Linked DNA regions of Tribolium castaneum. The protein of the gene in region 2 interacts with the protein of the main gene of each other region in a biochemical or structural test. Links are inferred from orthologs where the notes say so. Each region holds a gene or a part of one and is shown on either strand. Other genes may lie near its edges.

Region 1 (11,000 bases), on a different chromosome or scaffold from region 2:
GGGGTCGACGTAGCCGTCAATTGTCACATTCGGGCAGCTTGAGGGTACTTTGAACGTTTCACCCACTTGAGTGTCCAGCTCGAAGTAGGCGACGGAACACCAGTACTCGGGGGCTGGCTGGGTGGACAACAGACCAGCGATGTTTACGTCGTTGCATTGGTTTGTGTTCCAGTAAGCTGTGTGATGGGTGCGGTTATCAGGGGGCTGCATTGATTGGGTGTAGGTTAACGTATTAGATCCTGTCCAAGTACCACCAGCCCCAGTGAACGATTGGCCCATGGTAGCCGTAGCCGCGGGTTGGCTGCCGCTTATGGTACCACCGTTGTTGTTAACAACAGCAGTTGTCGTATGGGTGGAGTTGTTGAACCCGTTTTGTTGCAAATGGGGCGACACGGGAGGGTTACTCCCACCTAATATCGGTTACAATTAGAAGATGAATAACAGTAATTTGCACAAAATTTAAATAAAACACGCGTCTCTAAAAAATACTACTTCAAACTCACTCACACAATAAATATTATTACTACCTTTAAAGAATTTTTTTTTTTCGTTCAAAGCGTCGCCGAAACTTTCCTGTTCATTTAATTCTAATTTTTGTGTCTTGTAGTAAATAATTATAAGCTGTCACGAAAATGAAAGCATTGTCACCAAAATAAATATTTGTTAAGAAACAAAATATTACATAAAATCAATCTATATTTTTTTTCCCCGTAAGTGATTGTGAATGTGCGTACATATCTAATAAATCTCTTAAATCCGAAAAATAATTGTTTTCAAAATTTTAGTTTTATCAGAAAATAAATTTGTTTGATTTCATCAACTCCATATAAATAGAAGTATCGATGCAGCAATTGTTTTTTTTTTCAGTTTTTAATGTAACTTCACTACCGTGTATAAAAATTTTAGAGAAATATCAACAGTAATCAGACAAAATAATGTATTATGAAACAGTTTATTTATTTTATACAATTTTTATATTTATAAAATAATAGGTTACAAAATGGTCCTCCAAAAAAATTTTAATTTTATTCCAGACTTTTGATGTGTACTGTATATTTGGTATCAATTTGTAAATTTTCTGACTGTTGTAACGAAACATCTTAAGCTATGAAATTAGACCTACATTGTATTCTGTTGTTTCCAGACACTGATAAAATGGAACTTCCTTATACCTGAATCCTGGTTTCTAATTTCTAAGTACCTATCAGGCACAGTTCAGGGAACAATAAGATTATTGACTTCTTTCAAAGAAAACTTTCACAAATTTAAGAGATTAAAATATTAGCCACGCGATCTTTTACAATTTACGACCTTTGTAACCGAAGTGTGAACACAGGTACAGCTACAGACTGAGTGTGGACCCTGCCCAGAGTACATTACTGGTTGTTCTCAGAAAAGAATAATAAGTACTAAAAACCAACTCGCTAGTTTACTCCAAGTGAAAATATTATTTTTGTAGTATTTTTTTGGAAAACTCCGTTTTTGTAACAGAACTAAGAAAAATCGATCAATAAAAGTTTAGCTCAACATCACCAATAATAAAAACTAAACGTCAAAAATGAAATCAAATATTTTTTATATTTAAATTTGTAATCTAGCCCAAGTGAGATAATGTTTCGAAAATTGTCGAACACCCCGCTAACTGATAATAATTCCAGGTGATCTATTACCTTTAAAAGTTTTTTTGAGTTTAGAATATTAACAGTCGTTCGGGATTTAAAAACGTCGACAAATAATAAATTATGTACACTTCTATCGTTTTTAATAAAAGAACGCTTGCTGTATTTTATAATTTAATAATTCATAATATAATGAGGGATCAAATTATTTATTTTGTTCACGATTTTCGTTTCTACTTAACTTATAAAGTTAAACTGAAGGTACATTTTGAAATAATTTAGTGTTGGCATTTTGAAAACAAAACAATTATTCGGTAATTTTAAATCATCTTTACCAAGTTGCTGGAACACCCGGTATAAACACCAAATCTTGTGTGTTTGTTGGAAGAACTCACTACTTTATCTTCACGTAGCAATTAACTGAACACTAACATTGAGTACAATCGATAAAATGAAGTCACCGGAAAAGCATTTACTAAGTGGAAATTTGAAGTTAAGGTGTAAGAAAAATATTTAAAACGATGCAATAGTAGTAACACTGAGACGGGCGTTTTTTTGTACGAACTAGACTAAACCTACAATACGAGTAACACAACAGTGCTTTGAGAAAATGCAAAATAAAACAAAAAGAATCTTACGATGAGGTATATGCATGTGCGGTAACCAACTAGATCTGGAACATGCGTCAACTCCCCCTTCAATTTTAGGTACGGGATGTCCCATAACTGGTCTGTTTGGTGAATTATACATTCCCTGTTCACCTACCACAACAACGAAAACATAACATGCATAACTAAAAATACGAAAAGTGGGTTCTTAAAATAAAAAGTCTTCGAATCAGAGAATACAATAGACTAGTGAGTGAGAACACGCAGCTTACTTGTGGAAGGTGCCTGAAGTCCGCTCAGGGCGAAATTCTGCTGTGGGGGCTGGTGTTGGATGGTCTGGGAGACTTCAATGCCGATTTCGCTGTCTACGTCCATACTGCCTCCAGGGACCGGTCCAGCGGTGTACTCATCTTTCACTAATCGAGCGGTTCCAGATTGCAACGTAAGTCCAGAGAGGTCAATGCCGGGGGACACTACCCGTTCGTAATGGTACGGATTCACACATACTGAGTCACATTTTAAATCAAACGCAAACTGACAATATTTCACGTGTTTGAGTTCGTTTTTGTGGAGGTCGGGCCATCGCCAGATTCGAGCGTAGATAACGTGCGGAAAGCCCTTGCGTCCGGCAACCTAAACAACACAGAAACTGTAGCAACAACGCTTGAGAGAATTGCAAGGAAAGCTTGTGTGTACCTGCAGGCGGCCGTCGAGAGTCCTCTGGATCGTGACGCACTTGCTCGGATGTGCCCCACTGGTGGTTATAGCAGTGATAAGCGAGTCTAGTTCATCCCTTTTCTCTTTTAGCTTTTTCACCAGGGACTCTATAGCACGTTTGGCGAAGCCTTCGCTTTCTCCCCCTTGTCTGTGGCACATGAGACTGTGCACAATGCTCAGGCAAGCGTCAGCCGATGAGGGTGCTGTTGTGGCTAACCCTGACATATCTCCAACTACAAAAATGACCACCATAAATACAAAATTGTCAACAGTCTCGCATCTCGGGAAGTGGACGAAACGATGCAAGTGATAAGACAGTGATTGCTGAAAGCGTGCTGTTACCGATTTTGTAAATAAACAATAACAAAAACAAAAATAGATGATTATGGTTGACACTAGAAGCCTACCTTGGGGACGCATAAAAACCCCGGAAATGTTCGTGCAGAGTAGACTTTTCGATACAAATAAGTGGAAGAAATCTAACTTTTGTAAAAAATAATTGCATAGATCTTAATTTGTTGTTGAAAACCGCCGCTGAAGAAAACCATTGACGTCCGACAGAAGTGGACGAGAACTAATGTCAAATGGTTTGACAGAAAACGTGTTCGTCGGAACATTTCACTGCGAGTCAATAGCGCGAGTTGCATAACCAACCACCTCAAATTTGGATTGAAAAAAACATAAATTCCACTAATTTCAGCTAAACAACAAATAAAAAATGTAAAAATTGTTGAAATATAGTTACATTTTTTACAATTAATAAAATGTCTCCCACACTTCAATTTTATTTTTTTTAAATAATATAAAAACTTGATAAAAAATGCTTTTTAAATAATAACATTAGAAACCTTTTTGATAAACATTTATTAATAAATTAATAATAATAATAATAATAATAATAATAATAATAATAATAATAATAATAATAAATTACGTCATATTCTTTAGGAATTAATTAAAAATTTTTTCTTGAAATGCGTCGTAGTTTACCTTTACTAATAACTAAGCTATAGAGCTGGAGTACAGTATTTTATTTATTAACTAAAATAAATAAATAAATAATACATAAATAAAAATAAATAAAAAAATATTTCGGCTTAAACTTTGTAAAAATTAATTTAAATATTTTAACATACCGACAGCTGAAGTTTAGCTTAGCACCACCCCCCTCCCCCCAAAAAAAAATATTTTTGGATCCACCCCTGGTTTTCATCATTGATAACATGATAACAGCGCAACACTTTTCTCTTTATTTACACAAAGAACGAGGCATACTTTTAAGTACTCCCTCGCGCGTGCTCTAAAAACTGAACAGAAGATAAGCGAAAACATCCGTTTAACGTATATTATATTGTTTACATTCAATATGGATTTACAGAAACCTGTAATTAAATGGTCATGCAATAATATCTTCAGTGGTAACGCTTTGGTGTTTATTTTGCTTTCATATTTGGCATAACACATACAAATAATATAATATCGGTTAAAGTATTTATTTTTTTAACACTTAAATTTGGCGTCTCTCTTGAGAATACCATTTTTGGTTTTTTTAGCCAAATAAGTGGGAATTTTTTTTCAAAAAAAACAGACGTGCACTCGTTGAACGTATTTTGCGTTAATTTAATACATTTCCGACTTGTCTTAATTGTTATAATTTAATAAAATTAATAAAAATCAATAATACATAATAAAATTGCACAGTATCCCACATTTAGTAATACCCCTGAATTACAGAGGGCGGGACATATCTAATTGCAAGCGGGAACAATTTTTTTTACATTATTTAATTAATGATTATATTTCTATTGTTTTTCTACTGCTTATTTGGTATTAGGTAAAATATGTTATTGACAGTTTTAACTTATGTTGTAAAAGCATATTTTCTCCAAAATTATGGCTGGTCCGCTATGAAAAAAAAATACTTTTGGTGATAAAAAATATATGTTTTCAAGTGCACTAAATCAAAATACCTTCTTTCGACGAACTTGTGGAGAATATGTGTCCCGTGGAAAGCCCCACCATTATTTAACACTTGCTTCCGCAAAAACTAACTTCAACAAACTGGCGCTTAATTTTTGGCCCGCGTTTAACACTTGCTTTCAGTTTACATTATTATTACATTACTCATTACGTCACTAGCTCAGTTTCTTATTTCTTTTCTCGTCTGCAACAGAATGAGACAACTGATGCTAAGTGCTAAAACGGCAACTCTAATACCACATGCAAGAGAAACCTAAATGCGCATACGCAAAATTGCGAACCGGACTACAAATACCAAGCAAATCATAGGAAACGAGAAAAAATGCAATTTTAATACTATTGATTGACCCTGAAATGAATCAAAAAAGGGGCCAAAATGTATTAAGAATGTTTTTTAATTTATTGTAACAATAGTTTCGGTTGCACAACTATGGGTCATTGAAACTATTACAGTTGTAATTAATGATTCTCCTTTTTTGCTCTCCGGTCAAGCATAATGCAACGGTATTTGATAGGCTGCTGCATTGCATCCTGTTTCATATCGTGCGTATTACGTTCCCCAGAGATAAAAATTACGAGTTTTTAATTTGGTTTTTAGCACTGGCTTAATACGCAGAATTGTTATTGAAAGATTAGTTGATAAATGATAAATGAATAATTAAAAATTGCATTCTTTTGAGTGTTATGCAACCAAAAATACACACAATTAAGTTGATACGATACAAAAAAACGCCTATTTTTTGATTATTATTGGCGCAGTTGTGGCAAACAAATATCGTATTTTGGCCCACGCTGCATATAATCTATTGTTCTTGCTAATTGATGTGTTTTTAAATCAATTACAGCGATACACCACGCATTAAATTTTTTTAATTTTTACTATTTATTGTTTCATAAAACTACCGCCTGAGTCGAAAATTGTTAAATGGATAGAAAAACGCAAGTGATATCAATTTGCGCAAAAATTGATTAAACTTGTCTTGGTGATTTCCTTTTTGGATAATTTTGATAGGCAGCGTTCGGGGCGTCCTCTAGCCGCAAACTCGTCCTGTCAATTTGCCCATGTATATGTGGAGTGGCAAAGATTGGTGTGTAAAAAGATATTTTGTTGACAATTGACCGTATTTATCGCTTGTTTGTGTAGATAAATAATTGTGGAAATCGGATATTTAAAGAAAAGTTGTGAGTGAGTCGTTTCTTTTCCCGTACATGTAGCCGATATCTGTCAAAAACCGCAATAGTATAGGGGGAGGGTCACTGGTGACCTTTCGCAGTTTTTTGATTTTTAATAGGGGTGAAGTGGGTTGTTTCTGACCGGGGTCGTTTTTCAGAGGAGGATTTTGGAGGAACGAAGCGATTTCAGCCAACATGCCGGCAGTGCGAGGAGATGGCATGCGTGGCTTGGCCGTATTTATTTCCGATATAAGAAATTGTAAGAATTTTGCCCGTTCCGGTGCCCGTGACTCAAACTCTGTTGCCAGGTAAAAGCAAAGAAGCCGAGATCAAGCGCATTAACAAGGAGCTCGCGAATATACGGAGCAAGTTCAAGGGGGACAAGACTCTGGATGGGTACCAGAAGAAGAAGTACGTGTGCAAGCTGCTCTTCATATTCTTACTCGGGCATGACATTGACTTCGGGCATATGGAAGCTGTAAATCTCCTATCATCCAACAAATACTCCGAAAAGCAAATAGTGAGTCGATCGGAGGACGCTTCTGCATTTGACTGTATTTTTTGTAGGGATATTTATTTATTTCAGTGCTAGTCAACACTAATAGTGAGCTGATCAAACTCATAATTCAAAGTATTAAAAATGACTTGGCTTCGAGAAACCCAATTCACGTGAACTTGGCATTGCAATGTATTGCCAACATCGGCAGCAGGGAAATGGCCGAAGCCTTTGGTAACGAAATACCAAAACTTCTCGTCTCGGGCGACACCATGGATGTAGTTAAGCAAAGTGCAGCTCTCTGTCTTCTGCGTTTGTTCAGAACGTCGCAGGAAATCATCCCCGGAGGGGAGTGGACTTCACGCATCATACACCTCCTCAATGACCAACACATGGGGGTTGTGACAGCCGCGACAAGTCTCATAGACGCATTAGTTAAGAAGAACCCTGAGGAGTACAAAGGCTGCGTTTCCCTCGCCGTTTCGCGCCTAAGTAGAGTAAGTTGTTTATTGAGATAACTGCAAATATTTTACAAAAAAATACAGATCGTGACGGCAAGTTACACCGATTTACAAGACTACACATATTATTTCGTACCAGCGCCCTGGCTCTCCGTCAAACTGCTACGTCTCTTGCAAAATTATACCCCGCCAGGTAGGTGCGACATAGGAAAAAAATCAATCACTCAAATTTAAATTGCATGATAATTTTACTCAAATAACAAGTTGAAAGGTCATGCAAAATCGCAGTTGATTTCGTTTGATAACCTGCCAAACTAAATTAGGTCACAATTGACGCCGGATTATAGTACTACGTATATCAAGTTTTAGCCGCAGACCAAACACTCGAAAAAATTCTATGTGATTTTTTCAAATGCAAATGAGTTAAATGAAACATTTTTACATCAAAGACACTGTTCAAAGTTATTTGAACCCGAACTGAAACGTGTGTAAAGGGGGGAAATAACTTTTTCTACTTTCTTCAAAACAAAAAAATCAAGAGTAACTTTTGGAAATTGGATTTATGTTACAACTTAATAAATTTCAGAAATTATTAACTTATTCAAAAGTCTAGAATAATTTGTTGCTAGTTTTTAAGTTCCCACCTTTTCACCTTGCGAACCCTTTATAAATTTATAGAATATATAATATATTTCTTTATTTTATTTGTTTGTCTTATTGCATATTTTAAATATTAATGTTGCATGAATAAATTAAAAAAAAACAACTAAGAATTTAGTATTTTTATTAGTAAATATTATGTAGGGGATGTTTTTTAATCAGGCGTGTTAAATAGTTTAACGTTGTCACCATAGCCAAATTATTTGTAGTAATTTTAGTAAAGGAAGTCAGTTTCAGTGTTGATTTATTTTGACAAAATGCCATTAAGTGTTTGTAAAAAAATCCTATTTGAAAATCTAGAAACGAAAGCACAACAACATAGACTAATTTGGTATCCATAACAGCTTTTGATGTAAATGTGGAGACAAAAAGGGCTTACTAAACACTGCAATTTCCAATTTTTAACAAGAAAGTAACGAAGATGGAAAATAATCATGTGAAATAGAAAGTAATTAAATTAAATGAAGGTGACTGATTGCATTGCACTTTATGAAGGAGTAGAAAAAAGTGCCTATTTTATTTTTGAAGTAAGGCTGGAAAATAATTTAGAACTTGCATCAATTTGAAGCCCTTAACAGTTCGAAAAAATTGTTGAAAATTGATAGCCAATCTTCATAATATCTATTTATTGTTTGACTTTGACTTTAACTTTTTTCAGTAGAAGCGTACGAAAAACTTATTTTTGCCCATAATATTGTACAGTTCTATGCCTGTTCCTATTATTAAACATTGGGTTCTGTTTTTATAAACACACAACGGTGATATCGTCTTCAGGTGTTCGATAATAATGCAAATTTTGATGAATCTTCAGATTGAAAACGTAACTAATTAAAAAAAAAAATCGGGACTAAAACAGTACACAAACAATTTGTAGCCCACGTTGACGATGATATTTTGTAATTTTTTACGTTAGCGTTTTAAAATTTCGCCATTACACTACTTTTTTTTGGCGAACCACCCATTAAGAAACACTTACTCTAGCCAACCGATTTTGTAAAATGAGGTATGATATAATAGTTTTTGGAATCGTTTAGTTAAGAAGGACGCTTCACAAATCTTAAACTTAATTTTCGACGGAATATCTGTTTTTTTTTAGATTTATAGACAATTTAATGGATTAGATGACTTTAATTGCAATTTTGAAAAGAAAAACGTCTAAGTCAACAATTTTTATGTAAAAAAAATTCAGTACTTAAAGGGAAGAAATAAAATAAAAACACTGCTAAAACTAAATGTATATGGTTTGGCGTTTGTCATAATTTTCTTCTTAACAATTGTTAAGGGACCGTGGTTGAAACTTGATTCATTTTTTCACTTTTTTTTGTTACACTTGCTCCAAAGTTTTATGAATTCTTAGCTGAAGACCCGGGGGTGCGCGGCCGCTTGAACGAATGCCTAGAAACGATATTGAATAAAGCGCAGGAGCCTCCAAAATCGAAGAAAGTGCAACACTCAAATGCTAAAAATGCCGTACTGTTCGAGGCCATTAGTTTAATTATTCACAATGACAGGTATATTTATTTATTTTGAAATTTGAAAAGTCTCATTTTGTTATGTATACAGCGAAGCGAATTTGTTGGTGCGTGCTTGTAACCAGTTGGGCCAATTTTTGAGTAATAGAGAAACAAATTTACGTTATTTGGCTTTGGAGTCGATGTGTCATTTAGCAACGTCTGAATTTTCCCACGAGGCTGTTAAGAAACATCAGGAAGTTGTTATCTTGTCGATGAAGATGGAAAAAGATGTTTCAGTGAGGCAACAAGCCGTTGATTTGTTGTACGCTATGTGTGATAAGAGCAATGCTGAGGAAATCGTCCAAGAAATGTTGAATTATTTGGAAACGGCTGATTACTCAATTAGGGAAGAAATGGTCCTAAAAGTTGCGATTTTGGCCGAGAAATACGCCACGGATTACACTTGGTAAACCAAGCCTGATTTTCGTAACACTTTTTTACGTTTTTTGTCAGGTATGTTGATGTTATTTTAAATTTGATAAGAATCGCTGGCGATTATGTGTCGGAAGAGGTGTGGTATCGAGTGATCCAAATCGTTATCAACCGAGATGAAGTGCAAGGTTACGCCGCTAAAACTGTCTTTGAAGTAGGTCTCATTTGAGTCCATAATTCAGCTAACAATTTTTTTGAAGGCTTTGCAAGCACCCGCCTGTCACGAGAACATGGTCAAAGTCGGGGGTTACATCCTGGGAGAGTTTGGCAATTTAATCGCCGGGGATCAGAGATCCTCACCCTCAGTTCAATTCCAACTTCTCCACTCAAAATACCACTTATGTTCGCCGATGACTCGAGCTTTGTTACTCTCGACTTACATCAAATTCATCAATTTGTTCCCCGAAATACGGACTCAAGTACAGGAAGTTTTCAAACAGCACAGCAACCTGAGGTCGGCTGACGCCGAATTGCAACAACGAGCTTCGGAATATTTGCAATTGAGTATTATTGCAAGTTCGGACGTTTTGGCCACAGTATTGGAGGAAATGCCGGCGTTCCCCGAACGAGAGAGCTCGATTCTTGCTGTTTTGAAGAAGAAAAAACCAGGACGGGTCCCAGAAAATGAAATTAAGGAGAACAAAAGTCCCACACCTGTGACCAACCACAACAACGATGTAAATAACAGCAGTGCTGTCTCTGGCGATTTGTTGGGTCTGTCGACTCCGCCAACAGCGCAGCCCAACTCCGGAAACACCGGGGTGCTCCTGGACGTCCTTGGGGACATCTACGGGGGCAAACAGGCGAACAACTCGAACAGTGCCACTCAACCGGTCAACATGTACAACCCCAAGAAGTAAAAACGTTGTTTGCACCCGGTGGTAATTATTTGAATCGTGTTCTTTCAGGTTCGTGTGTAAAAACAACGGCGTTTTATTCGAAAGTGACTTGATCCAGATAGGCGTTAAAAGCGAGTTCCGCCAGAATTTGGGCCGACTTGGCTTGTTTTACGGAAATAAGACTAACGTTCCGTTGCAAAATTTCGTCCCGACCTTGTCTTGGCCCGACGATCAGGCTTCCAAGCTCACCATTCAGATGAAGCCTGTTGAGCCGGTCCTGGAAGCTGGTGCTCAAATCCAACAGATGATCAACGCGGAGTGTGTCGATGACTACACGGGCGCCCCCAGCATAGTGCTCAGTTTCCTGTATCTCAACGTGCCCCAGAAAATAACGATCAAACTTCCATTGACGATTAACAAGTTCTTTGAACCGACTGAAATGAACGGCGAATCCTTCTTCGCAAGGTGGAAAAACCTCGGAAGGTAATTTCCGGGACGCAG
Region 2 (10,189 bases):
TTAATTCCACGTAAATACGGAACTCAGCTTTTATTAGAAATCATTTATTTTTTACGACCTCGATAATATTCATAAAACGTTTCATGGATCAATAAATTACTATTTTCATCACATTTACGAAGTGCGAAAATTACGGAATGAAAACGTCAAGTTCCAGTCTATTAAATTCGGATCAAAACTATTTTGTTCGTGTAATAATTGAACAATGATGCTAAAACGCTGACCATTATTTCGATAGAGCGCAAAAAATAATAATACTTGCCTCGCCTTGAGAGTAAATTAACACAAAACATTTTATTCGGAAAAAAATAAACGGTGAGACTCACTTTATTAAAAAATGACCTACTTACCTTTTAAAGTAGTGCATTAAAAATTGAAATTAAATTAAATTGTGCAAATTTTTATAAAAATATTTACGATTCGACACACTTCATTAATTAGTGTGGCGCGATATAATTTAGGAAAAGTCAAGGTCATTGCGACCTTATCTCTCGAGATTAAAACTAAGCCGTTCCATCAGCAAACAAATATGACATTGAAAAATCACCATTTAAATACTTTCAATCGTAAGATCCTCATTAAAATCGATTTCTTGTAACTATGTACTTAAGTCAATGGAACCCTAACTGATGGCATCTCACCACACAACAATAAAGAAATCAAATGACGTCAATGCTCAATTCAATAACCACCCGCATTCAATACTCACAGCTCCCGTCAACATGTCGTAGGCCAGAGCCCCAAACGACCACCAATCCACCTCTTTCCCGTGCCCACTCCTCGTCAAAATCTCAGGCGCCCTAAACCAATGATAAGTCGGATTTTTTGGCATTTTTAGCACTCACATGTATTCAATTGTTCCGCAAAAAGTATGCGTCAAAACACCATCCCTGATATGTTCCTTGCACAATCCGAAATCGGTCAATTTAACGTGACCTTTAGAATCTAACAGGACGTTTTCCGGCTTCAAATCCCGGTAAACGATCCCGAGAAAATGCAAATGTTCTATGGCGAGTAAAATCTCAGATAGGTAAAAACTGGAATTGAGAGAATTATTTGGGGGATTTTAAACAGTGGTTGGTTACATGGCTGTTTCTTCTAACAGGAGCCCCTCTTTCTCCAGCATGGTGAAGAGCTCGCCCCCTTGTAAAAATTCTAGTATTAAATAGAGTTTGCCGTTCGTTTGGTAGGCGTAAATTAATTCGACTATAAAAGGATGCTTGACAGCTTCTAAAATATTGCGTTCAGCCTTAGTGTGTGCAGTGTCTTTCTGGTTGCGTACAATGGAAGCCTTGTGTAGGATTTTCATCGCGTAAATGCTTTCCTTATCGCTTCCCGTCTCTTTGATCACTTGAAACACCTTGCCGTAGCCCCCTTTCCCCAAGACGCTGAGTATGCGGAAATCCTCGTTCCCGATCTTCTTCCCCTTGTTCACGCTCTGCTCGTCCACCTGTACCCGCTCGGTGTCGGCCGTGCTAAACGTTATCAATGAAAACAACCAACTTATCGCCCAAACTTATCAACACTTACTCAATCATGTCGGAAACATCTGGCTGCTCGTCGTATTGATCCTGCAAAGATTTCGCAACGATTTAAAACACAACTCGACAATGCGGCTCCAGGAGCCTCTCAATCTGCGTCAAACCGAGAGAAATTTCGCATTGCACAAGATGCAAATGCCACAAGGTGTGACACTGGACTCGGATTCTAGGACGGGAAATCGGATCGGGGGCTCGGTTCGGACAATTTGATCACCTCTGCGATGTCTATGGCATCGTCCTCGTCGTCGGAGCTCTGGGGCAGCCCGTCGTGTAACTCAATATCGAAGATTCCTGCCATGATTCCTCCTCAAACCACGCACTGATTCGCACTGAACATAACACCAAACGGGTGAGGCGAGCGCGCTTTGCACCAATTTGCACCCACAGTGCGGATTTTTCGCCGAAATGCGCCGAAATCCACCAAGACAACACCACAGTCAAACCACGGACCACTCAAGAATATTGGGTTATGTCGGATTCCAGGCGTGCCAATGCGATAAGGCGGAAAACCCAGCCAGACGCGGCTGTGATTGGCCGAGCGGGGGCGGGAGCTTCAAATTCGATGATTTATGACATGAGACGAAAGTTAAGCACTTTCCAAACATTTTCGGCACAAATGAAAGTGGCCCGGAACAACATAACTCCAACAAATCCGCCTGTTTTTAATTGGTTTAACACGTTCACTTGTCAACAGAATCGCATATGGAGATTAAAGGCAAATATTTGAGGAAAATATTTGCCCTGCACCACTTATCCTTGAAACTGGCTTAGAAAAACAAGAATTTGTTTGGTACTTCCGACGTGTCAACAAATCTTTATTTTTAAAGGATTGATTCTAGAATTTGTGTTTGACGCAATTATCGTTTGCATAATGTTTGCACTGGAATATAAATGCATCCGGTTGGGTTTTTGCTACGGAGGACTATGACTTAGGAGACGGAACGAGATGCAGAATCGTGGGATTTTCTGGACCCAAAAAGTGAAGCAAAAATGTGGGCACTTCGAGCGTTATACCGGCGCCAAGTCGTTTTAAATTAATTTAAATTCATTCAATTATTCACTAATTACTTGAAAAAAAAAATGCAGGAATGTTGAGTTTTGCACTCTGAACAGACTGAGAAAAGCTGATCGTATTCCCAGCGTTTTGAAAAATATGGGATAGAGTGCTAATTGGCAAAGATTGAAATTTTTTTAAATGTAGTTTACGGTATTTTTTTTTCATTATGTTTATGTCTTACTATTGAGAATTTAATGCTCCATTTGCCTGTATTTTTTTGCTGTGTTAACCGATATACGAATACAATTTTTTCAAATCCATTGCTTTGGAAGGGAACGTTTTATTTGTACGACGTTTCGTATCCTAACCTTTAGATATCCGTAGTTTTTTAGGACTAGGTAACCAATAACACACCAATTAGATTATAAATAAATATTTATTAAATCCAAACAAATCAGACAGATTAAAACGCGTTAATGGGTCGAATTATTCAAGGAAGTGCTGTTAAAAAGCCGGTCTTTGATCATTTGGGCCATCAGTCCGTGAATAATCTCAATCGTAGTCTTGCAACTGTCCTTTGTAGCTTTCAACAGTTTGTCTTCTGTTCGTTTTTCGTGCGGATCAGTGCCGCCTACGATGAACCCCCCGCGCCCAATGGCCGCTTCCGACTGTTCCAACTTCTCCGACAAATCAAAAATTTGCCCAGTTGTGTAATCAGCATTCGTTAACAAACTAGACGAGCTCAAAGTATTGACCCAATATTTGTTCCACAAGGAATCAAGCAATCGCCTATCAAGTGACGATTTAAAATACGACACTTCAAGCGAATAATATTGTTTGCAATGCACCCCAAAATCCTCGATTTTGTTCAGAGGAATGGTCTGGTACTCTGACGGTTCCTCATTTGCTGGTTTGTACCCTTTCGGGTACGTCCTGAACGCCCCTAGACACACCTTCCCCGCGGAAATGGTTCTCACAGGATCAATCACAATGGCAACGAACGGTTCCTGGAAATTCTGGTTGAGCATCTGGGTGCCAACGTCAATCCCAGACAACCAGCACCCGTATCCCGGGTGGCTGTGGTACCAGCCTATCGCGTTCTCCTGGCGGCCCACCAGCTTCGCAGCCTCGATGTACGAACTCATGTACTCGTAAGCCTGAGCTTGTGCGTTGACTCGGGTCTCTGTCCCTTCCACAGGCAGCGCAAACGAGTCCATCACAAACATTGTGTTTCCGTCGACTTTGCCCAAAATCAGGCCCATGACCTCCAGGGTGCCCCCCGAACGCGCGTGCATGACCATTTTCAAGAGGGCCAAGGCCGAGATTTTGATATCTTTGAAGAAGTGAGGGCTGGAAATTGAGATTAGGTAAAGTGAGGTTAGGGCCGACTTTTGCCTACTCTTTCTCCCAGGGCTTCGCGGCGAGGATGTCTTGCTGCTGCTTCTTGTCGTAGCGGTAAATATCGTCGACCGAGTTCACCAGTTCGACTTTATTGGCCATTTCCCAGGTTTTTTGTGCGATTTGTTCCTGGGTTTCGGAGGTCCCCGGCTTCGACATTGCGGCAAAAGGGGGCAAAAGCTAATCACAAATGGAGAGTTATTGCGAAAATGACGAGGATTTACCGTAATTCTGGGCTATTTTGGGCAAAAATTCGAAAAAATCGGACCTGTCAAAACACAGATGTCAAATTACAGCGCTACCAATCGTAAATATAAAAACTGGAAGGACACTTTTTTAATTTTTTTTTTTAGATATGGGACGATTTACGTATTAATTGCTGTAATAATGAGACAATGCATAATGGTAATGAAAAAAAATCGATAAATTGTTTGTGGCACAAACCGACAAGGAGTTTTGTCACAGAAAATAATTATTTTACGAGTGGCTTGGCATTTGGTGGCCCGTTATTGCCTTCATTGGGCTATTTTTACCGAATTGTGTTTTTCAAGGTGGGACAGGTGTTCGCAAAGTGTGTTAACAGTCCTGCAGATGTCGTCCCATTAGCGTTTTTCTTTTGTTTTTTTCCCATTTGCACGAAACGACTTTGTGTTGGTTTTTGCGAACGTAAAGCCCGGCCGTAATTCGGTGTAACGTTATGGGAGTATAATTGGAGTCTCATCGTTTAAAACCCATAAACAAGTCCAACCACACCCTGACAGTTTTATTAGGGTGGTTTTTTAGCAGTTGGCAATTCTAAAGCGTCTTAAATCAAACCGACCAATCAGCGGGCGGCATTCGGTGCATAATGGTGGGGCGCCCGCCATTTTGATTCGAGATTATGCGCGTTTTAGTTAAAGAAAAGTTTGTAATAAGTAGTGTGGTAACGTTGTGTTGTAGAATTTGTGCTCGTTTTAAATAGGATTTTAGGAGGATAAGGTGAGTTTTGGGCCAAGTGGTCAATTAAATAGCATATTTTTGGGTCCGGGGGGCGATTTCCGCTAACAAATGCCGGCGAAAATGTCGTAGTTTTCGCGATTTGGGACGTTAGAGTCGAGGGATGCGCGCCGGTTGTCGCAGAATTCAAAAATTGGGGCCATGCTTGAGGCTGGGGGCTGTTGCTAGGCCGCGTTCTTTGTTAGTGCACGTCCCCCGTAATTAGGGGCGAATTCGTGACTTGGGGTCCGAGGGTGAGTCAGGGTGTCGGTGTGGCACCCACATGTCTGTGCCGAAAATCCCCAACGGAACGACCATTGTGGTGCACTTGCATTGTTCGGTTATCGCTTATTTCAAACGCAATTTGTTTATTATCTGTCTTCTTGCAATGTAATACGCGCCTGTAAAAAATTCAAATCCAAGGCCACATACTCGCGTATTGAAACACGATGAATTCCTTTCCTCCCGTTCGAACTAAATTTAGACTAGGGGATTTTACCCCCGAATTAAAAATAACCAGGTTTTTTACGCGTAAACCGGGTTTTTAAACGAGTCCAGATACCACCTGCTGCGAATTTTAAAATAACCGCAAGGATTTCCAGCGAATGCAGCTTTGTTTCAATTTAGGTGAGTTTTTGGTGGGTTCAACGGTATTTCCAACTAGTTTCGTGATGTATAGGCTCTTTGTAGTGCGGATAATGTTCTAAGCTGTGACAGTTTCAAGATTAATTTTGACTCCCAACCGGTTATTCTCCAGTAAAAGTTTACGGCTCTAAATCGTGACAATTAAATTAATAATTGTTATGCTTACATTGTAATATTGCGTGAAGGACGCTTTTTAAATTATTGACAGAAACGTGAAAAGCAGTCCCGATCTATTCTCGTTATTACAGTGGGGTCCGGTTATAACGAAATACATCAAAATCAGTTCGCTATAAGCGTAAATTTTCAAATAAAGTGTTTTTTAGCAGTAATTTTTACCCTACATATGAAATAAGACGAAATAAATAAGTATATATAGCAAAAAATTTTTATATGCAGAGTTTTGGTTGGCGAATAAATTTGGGACCAACAAGTCAGTCAAAATTTTGACTTTTAGCTGCCAACTTTCTCATTAAAATTAAGCTACTTTCGTTTTTTTGTTTAGTTGAGACACCCTGTATGAGAAACTTGGCGAGAATTCGGGTTATGCAGTGATAAGCGCTTCTGAAATGTGACTCAATGTGAATCACACTTTTGTTTACTAATAGCTATCTAATTGCGAGCCACTTATCAGTGGAGTAAAACGTAGAAAATTCGTCTATCTAAAAATAAAGTCCGGTTGTTTCCGGTGCGCGCACAAATCCGGAAAATCATTACTTGAAATTTAATTTTCAACAAAGAACGTTTTTCTCGTTACATAATGATATTCTCCGTTTCGCGGTTGACTTCTTTAGCATTTTCACACACTTGTGGTCATTTGTAATGTTTTTTTCCTGTCGTTTTTTGCAAGTGTACCGGAACTCATCACCTGTAGACCATTATTAATCCGAGTGAAATTGCTTTAATATGTTTTAGAGTTGGTCTTTTATTTGTGATCGTTCCGCTGAGTACCGAAGGGTTTATTATTGATTTGTTGCGTTATTAAGGAACATGCAAGCATAATTGCAGGTGCAAGGCTGTAATAGGAAATTGTCCTGTTTTTCAAATTCGAGTTGTGTTTGCGTCGCGTCTCTGGAATGCGTTTGTGATAAACTTGGGGCACATTTCTAACCTTTGCCTGTTTTGTATCTATTTCGAGTTGTTACAATGAGCTGGTTTAGCACCGATTTGTGCGAGTCCATTGATGGGTTTTATCACTCGAGTACAATGTCTCCATTGAAAGAATGCTTAAAATAAAGTAGCCTCCTGCTTACAAATTATTCGAAAAATGTAACCTCGGAATATTGATGACGAGACACTTCCTTTACTTATCCGAACGAATTGGCTGCTTATCATAACATTGGAACGATATGCAGTCAGTTTACCATTTCCGGGACAATGGGAAACGCCCACGACTTGTTAAAACCGTGGTCTAACACCGTTTGGTTCCATTGGATGGGCTGGAGATTCGTGTTGGACTATTGGCAAACGGTGGATTTGTTTTGTTGTAATTCAATTCCGACTGTTTTAATGTCATGCTCAAGTAAATGTCAGTCGAGAGCTATTATCGTGCTTGAATTGCAAATAAGTTTATCTCTTCTAAATGAAGAACATTTATTGATAATCGTGGAACAAAACCGGTCTAATAAAGGGTCATTTTCATATTTTTACTGATAAGGCTTTGAAAAACGCAACAGGTCAAGAGCACGGGTGGGAGCCGGCCATAAAGGCACACAAAACACATTGTTTGTTATCAATTGCATTCTTTCGTCGATAACAGCGCGCTGTGTGTATTTTTTTGGCACGATGCCTCAACTTATTGGCTTAAATTGGCCTCGAAGTTAATGGTCGTCGACTCCGCGATCTTTGTTAACTTTCATCTCAACAACACATATGTTGTGCATCTGATGGCGCTTTTAGCTACGTCACCCGTACATTGTTTTCCGTGAATTTCGGTGAAGAATTACAATGTTCTACTTGCTTTGGATTAGGAGAAAAAAAGGTAAAGTCAGCGTGCAGCTGGTTGAGGTCATTCGTGATCTCGGCGTACCTGAGAGTTTTTTGATTGGGTTTTTGAGGAGGGAAAAAATTGAGGCTCGGTTAGGCTCGTTATTCCGGTGTAATTGCCGTGATTCTTTTTTTATTTATGTAAGAAATTGATGGTTTGCCTGATGATGAAAAATGTGGTGATTCACGGTTTGTTTTGGCCTAGTTTAAAAAATGCCAGAGTGGTTTTATGGTAATGGTGGAAGCAGTGTTTTAAGGTCAAACTGAGGTTTTTAAAACGGAACGTAATGCAAAAGCAAGACAAAGAAAGTTGGACGCTGCTGCTGTGGCTATTATGATTTTGGCGAAATACAGTGGATCCTCTATTATCCTACCCAGTCTTGGGCAAAGCCAAGTCGGATAAATTACAATTCAGTCTTTATTTATTTGGTACGATGAAAGTTTTTTTATTGTATTAAACGTTCTAAATACCTCGAAATAGACCAAAATACTGCATTTTTTATTAATTGTGCAAGATTCTATCCTGGTTTAAAAAGTAGTCTGACCTTTCTCTGTGGAAATTTTCTTAAATCCTTAGAAAACAGAGCGTTTTTCAGATTTCAAAAATGATATAAATGTATTAAAACAGGCGAAATTAACGCCTTCCAAATTTAACTTTGCAATTTTCTATATTTCTTTGAGAGAACAACAATATTCCGAATTTTGTGACATTCTCAAAATGATTTATGGAAGATGATACATTTTATAAAAAAAAATTGGAGTTGTTTGAGAAAAATATTCAAATTCAATGAAATATTTTTTTTCTTTCTGTGTCAAAATATTCACACAAACTCGAAATCATCGGTGGCCTTAAACGCTTACGAATGGTAAAATTAGAATTAGAACAAAAAAATGCGAAGTCTATTAAACGACTAGAAACGGATAATCGAGGTTCTACTGTAGTAACGAATTTTCTTCTGAGTTGAAAATTTTTTTTTTTAAAGATTTTGACGTAAGTCTTTGGGTTAGCAGATAATGGGTTAAAATGTGTAGCAAAACCTAGCAATGTATGAATTTTTTGCTCAGTTGCAAGTTGGTGTTGGTATTTTTTTGGAAATTAAAAAAAAAATTCCCAGAATTACTGTTATTCCATTTACTACGCCTTACCTTATCAGGTCTGAATATTTAGATGTTGTGAATAAATCAATATTAGAATTTTGAATTCTGTTTAAATAGTATTTGTTGACGGTGCTGTGTCTATTTGGTTTTTATCACTTTTAAACATTTCCGTCTGTCCCTATGACATTTTCTCCCAACGGAAATGCATTCGAAGCACGTGAAATGGCGTTTCGTTTGTTCGACGTTAAAACCCACAACCGCATTGTTATCAAAATTCAATTGATTGTTTCATTGCATTTTTCGGAGCAATTCGGCCAAAGTCTGAAGAATGCAAGCGCCGAATACGTGACATCATTAGGGTCATTAGCGATTCCTTGCGTCGAAAAACCACCGGAAACATTTGTAACAATAGTTGGAGGGTGTCCAAATGTGACACGAGTTTTTTCCTCCCAACAGTTTTTGATTAATTTCGTGTATTTAAGTTTGTTGACACTGTATGTTTATTTGTGTTACATGCATCGTATCACATCTTTGACTTTTATATCCGGAGATGGGCGCGGTTTTCCAAAATAACCCAGAGATAAAATTCGGAGTGTCATCGAAACGAACTTTTCCAACTTATCATCACACATGTACCATAAATCTTGCCGTCATAAATAATTCAATAATCCGCGTACGTCGCGACTAAACGACAACCTTTATGCAAATTGGCATTCCTTCGGCCTAAAACGGACGAAAAATTATGCGCTGGTATTCGGTACCATGAAGTTTTCCGGACGATAAAATAATCTTGTCAGTGGGTTAGTGACGAGCAGTTGACTCAACTTGATAATTTTCACGGAATTGTAATTAGTCAGTTTGTTGAAAGATTTAATTTTTCGTTGGCCTTGATCGGTACTGGCGTACTGACACACCAGACGGACAAATTCAAGTGGTCCCATGTCAGTTCTGGTGACATACGAGTCCCGTCATTGATTTTACACGTTTTTACATCAATTTTTGCATAATTTTCGAGTGGTTTTCACCCCCGTAGTGTGAGTAAACCGTGTTGTTGTCCCCCGTATCTGAGAACAAATATTTTCGTAATCGGAAAAATGCGCCTTATCGGTGGGTAAATATGGTGCGTTTTTGTTTGTTTCAGATAAAAATGGGTGCTAGACAGTCCAAGAGGTCGGTGGACATTACGACAACCCCCAAAAAGGGCGAAGAGGTCGCCGTTGAGGGCGAGGGCAAGGTGGAAAAGATCGCCGAAATCGACAAAGTCACCACGAACGGTGCCATACACAGCGAAATTGAATACGCCGTAAGGAATTTTGCATTAAATTGGAGTGTTGTGGCAGGCCTGTCTCATGCAATTCATGTGGGAAATTAGACTTAATTGTCCAACGTTTAAAATCCTCCAGACGACGACTCTTGTTAATTATTATTATTAATATTGTGGCTGCGTCAATTGGACGAACCATTACAAGGGTTTTTCTTTTTCGAAATTAAACGCGTCCGATGAGGGGGATCCCATGAGGGTTGGGTTGGTGCACGTGGTCAAGGTCGCATA

The links.
Region 1: the proteins of CSN5 (region 2) and Med form a complex in vitro, tested with the Homo sapiens proteins (2 studies listed by BioGRID). The link is inferred for Tribolium castaneum from reciprocal best matches to the Homo sapiens genes COPS5 and SMAD4.

The regions. Positions count from the first base shown.
Region 1 is NC_087403.1:6,337,754-6,348,753, forward strand, and holds the start of Med (mothers against decapentaplegic homolog 4), read right to left. Parts: upstream 5,153-11,000; 5' UTR 4,967-5,152; coding exon 4,915-4,966; intron 3,548-4,914; exon of another isoform or gene 3,365-3,547; coding exon of another isoform or gene 3,352-3,364; intron 3,269-3,351; exon of another isoform or gene 3,197-3,268; coding exon of another isoform or gene 3,178-3,196; coding exon 2,924-3,177; intron 2,861-2,923; coding exon 2,500-2,860; intron 2,381-2,499; coding exon 2,258-2,380; intron 411-2,257; coding exon 1-410. Other genes in the region: AP-2alpha (AP-2 complex subunit alpha), read left to right, coding at 6,293-6,356, 6,406-6,617, 6,665-7,090, 7,139-7,247, 9,072-9,225, 9,278-9,634, 9,682-9,814, 9,861-10,516 and 1 more. UniProt on the Homo sapiens protein: In muscle physiology, plays a central role in the balance between atrophy and hypertrophy. When recruited by MSTN, promotes atrophy response via phosphorylated SMAD2/4.
Region 2 is NC_087395.1:23,652,153-23,662,341, forward strand, and holds CSN5 (COP9 signalosome complex subunit 5), read right to left. Parts: upstream 4,482-10,189; 5' UTR 4,161-4,481; exon of another isoform or gene 4,117-4,160; 5' UTR 4,096-4,116; coding exon 3,938-4,095; intron 3,889-3,937; coding exon 3,012-3,888; 3' UTR 2,956-3,011; downstream 1-2,955. Other genes in the region: S6k (ribosomal protein S6 kinase beta-2), read right to left, coding at 710-800, 846-1,037, 1,086-1,475, 1,531-1,571, 1,756-1,839; uncharacterized protein Akap200, read left to right, coding at 9,785-9,940. UniProt on the Homo sapiens protein: Probable protease subunit of the COP9 signalosome complex (CSN), a complex involved in various cellular and developmental processes.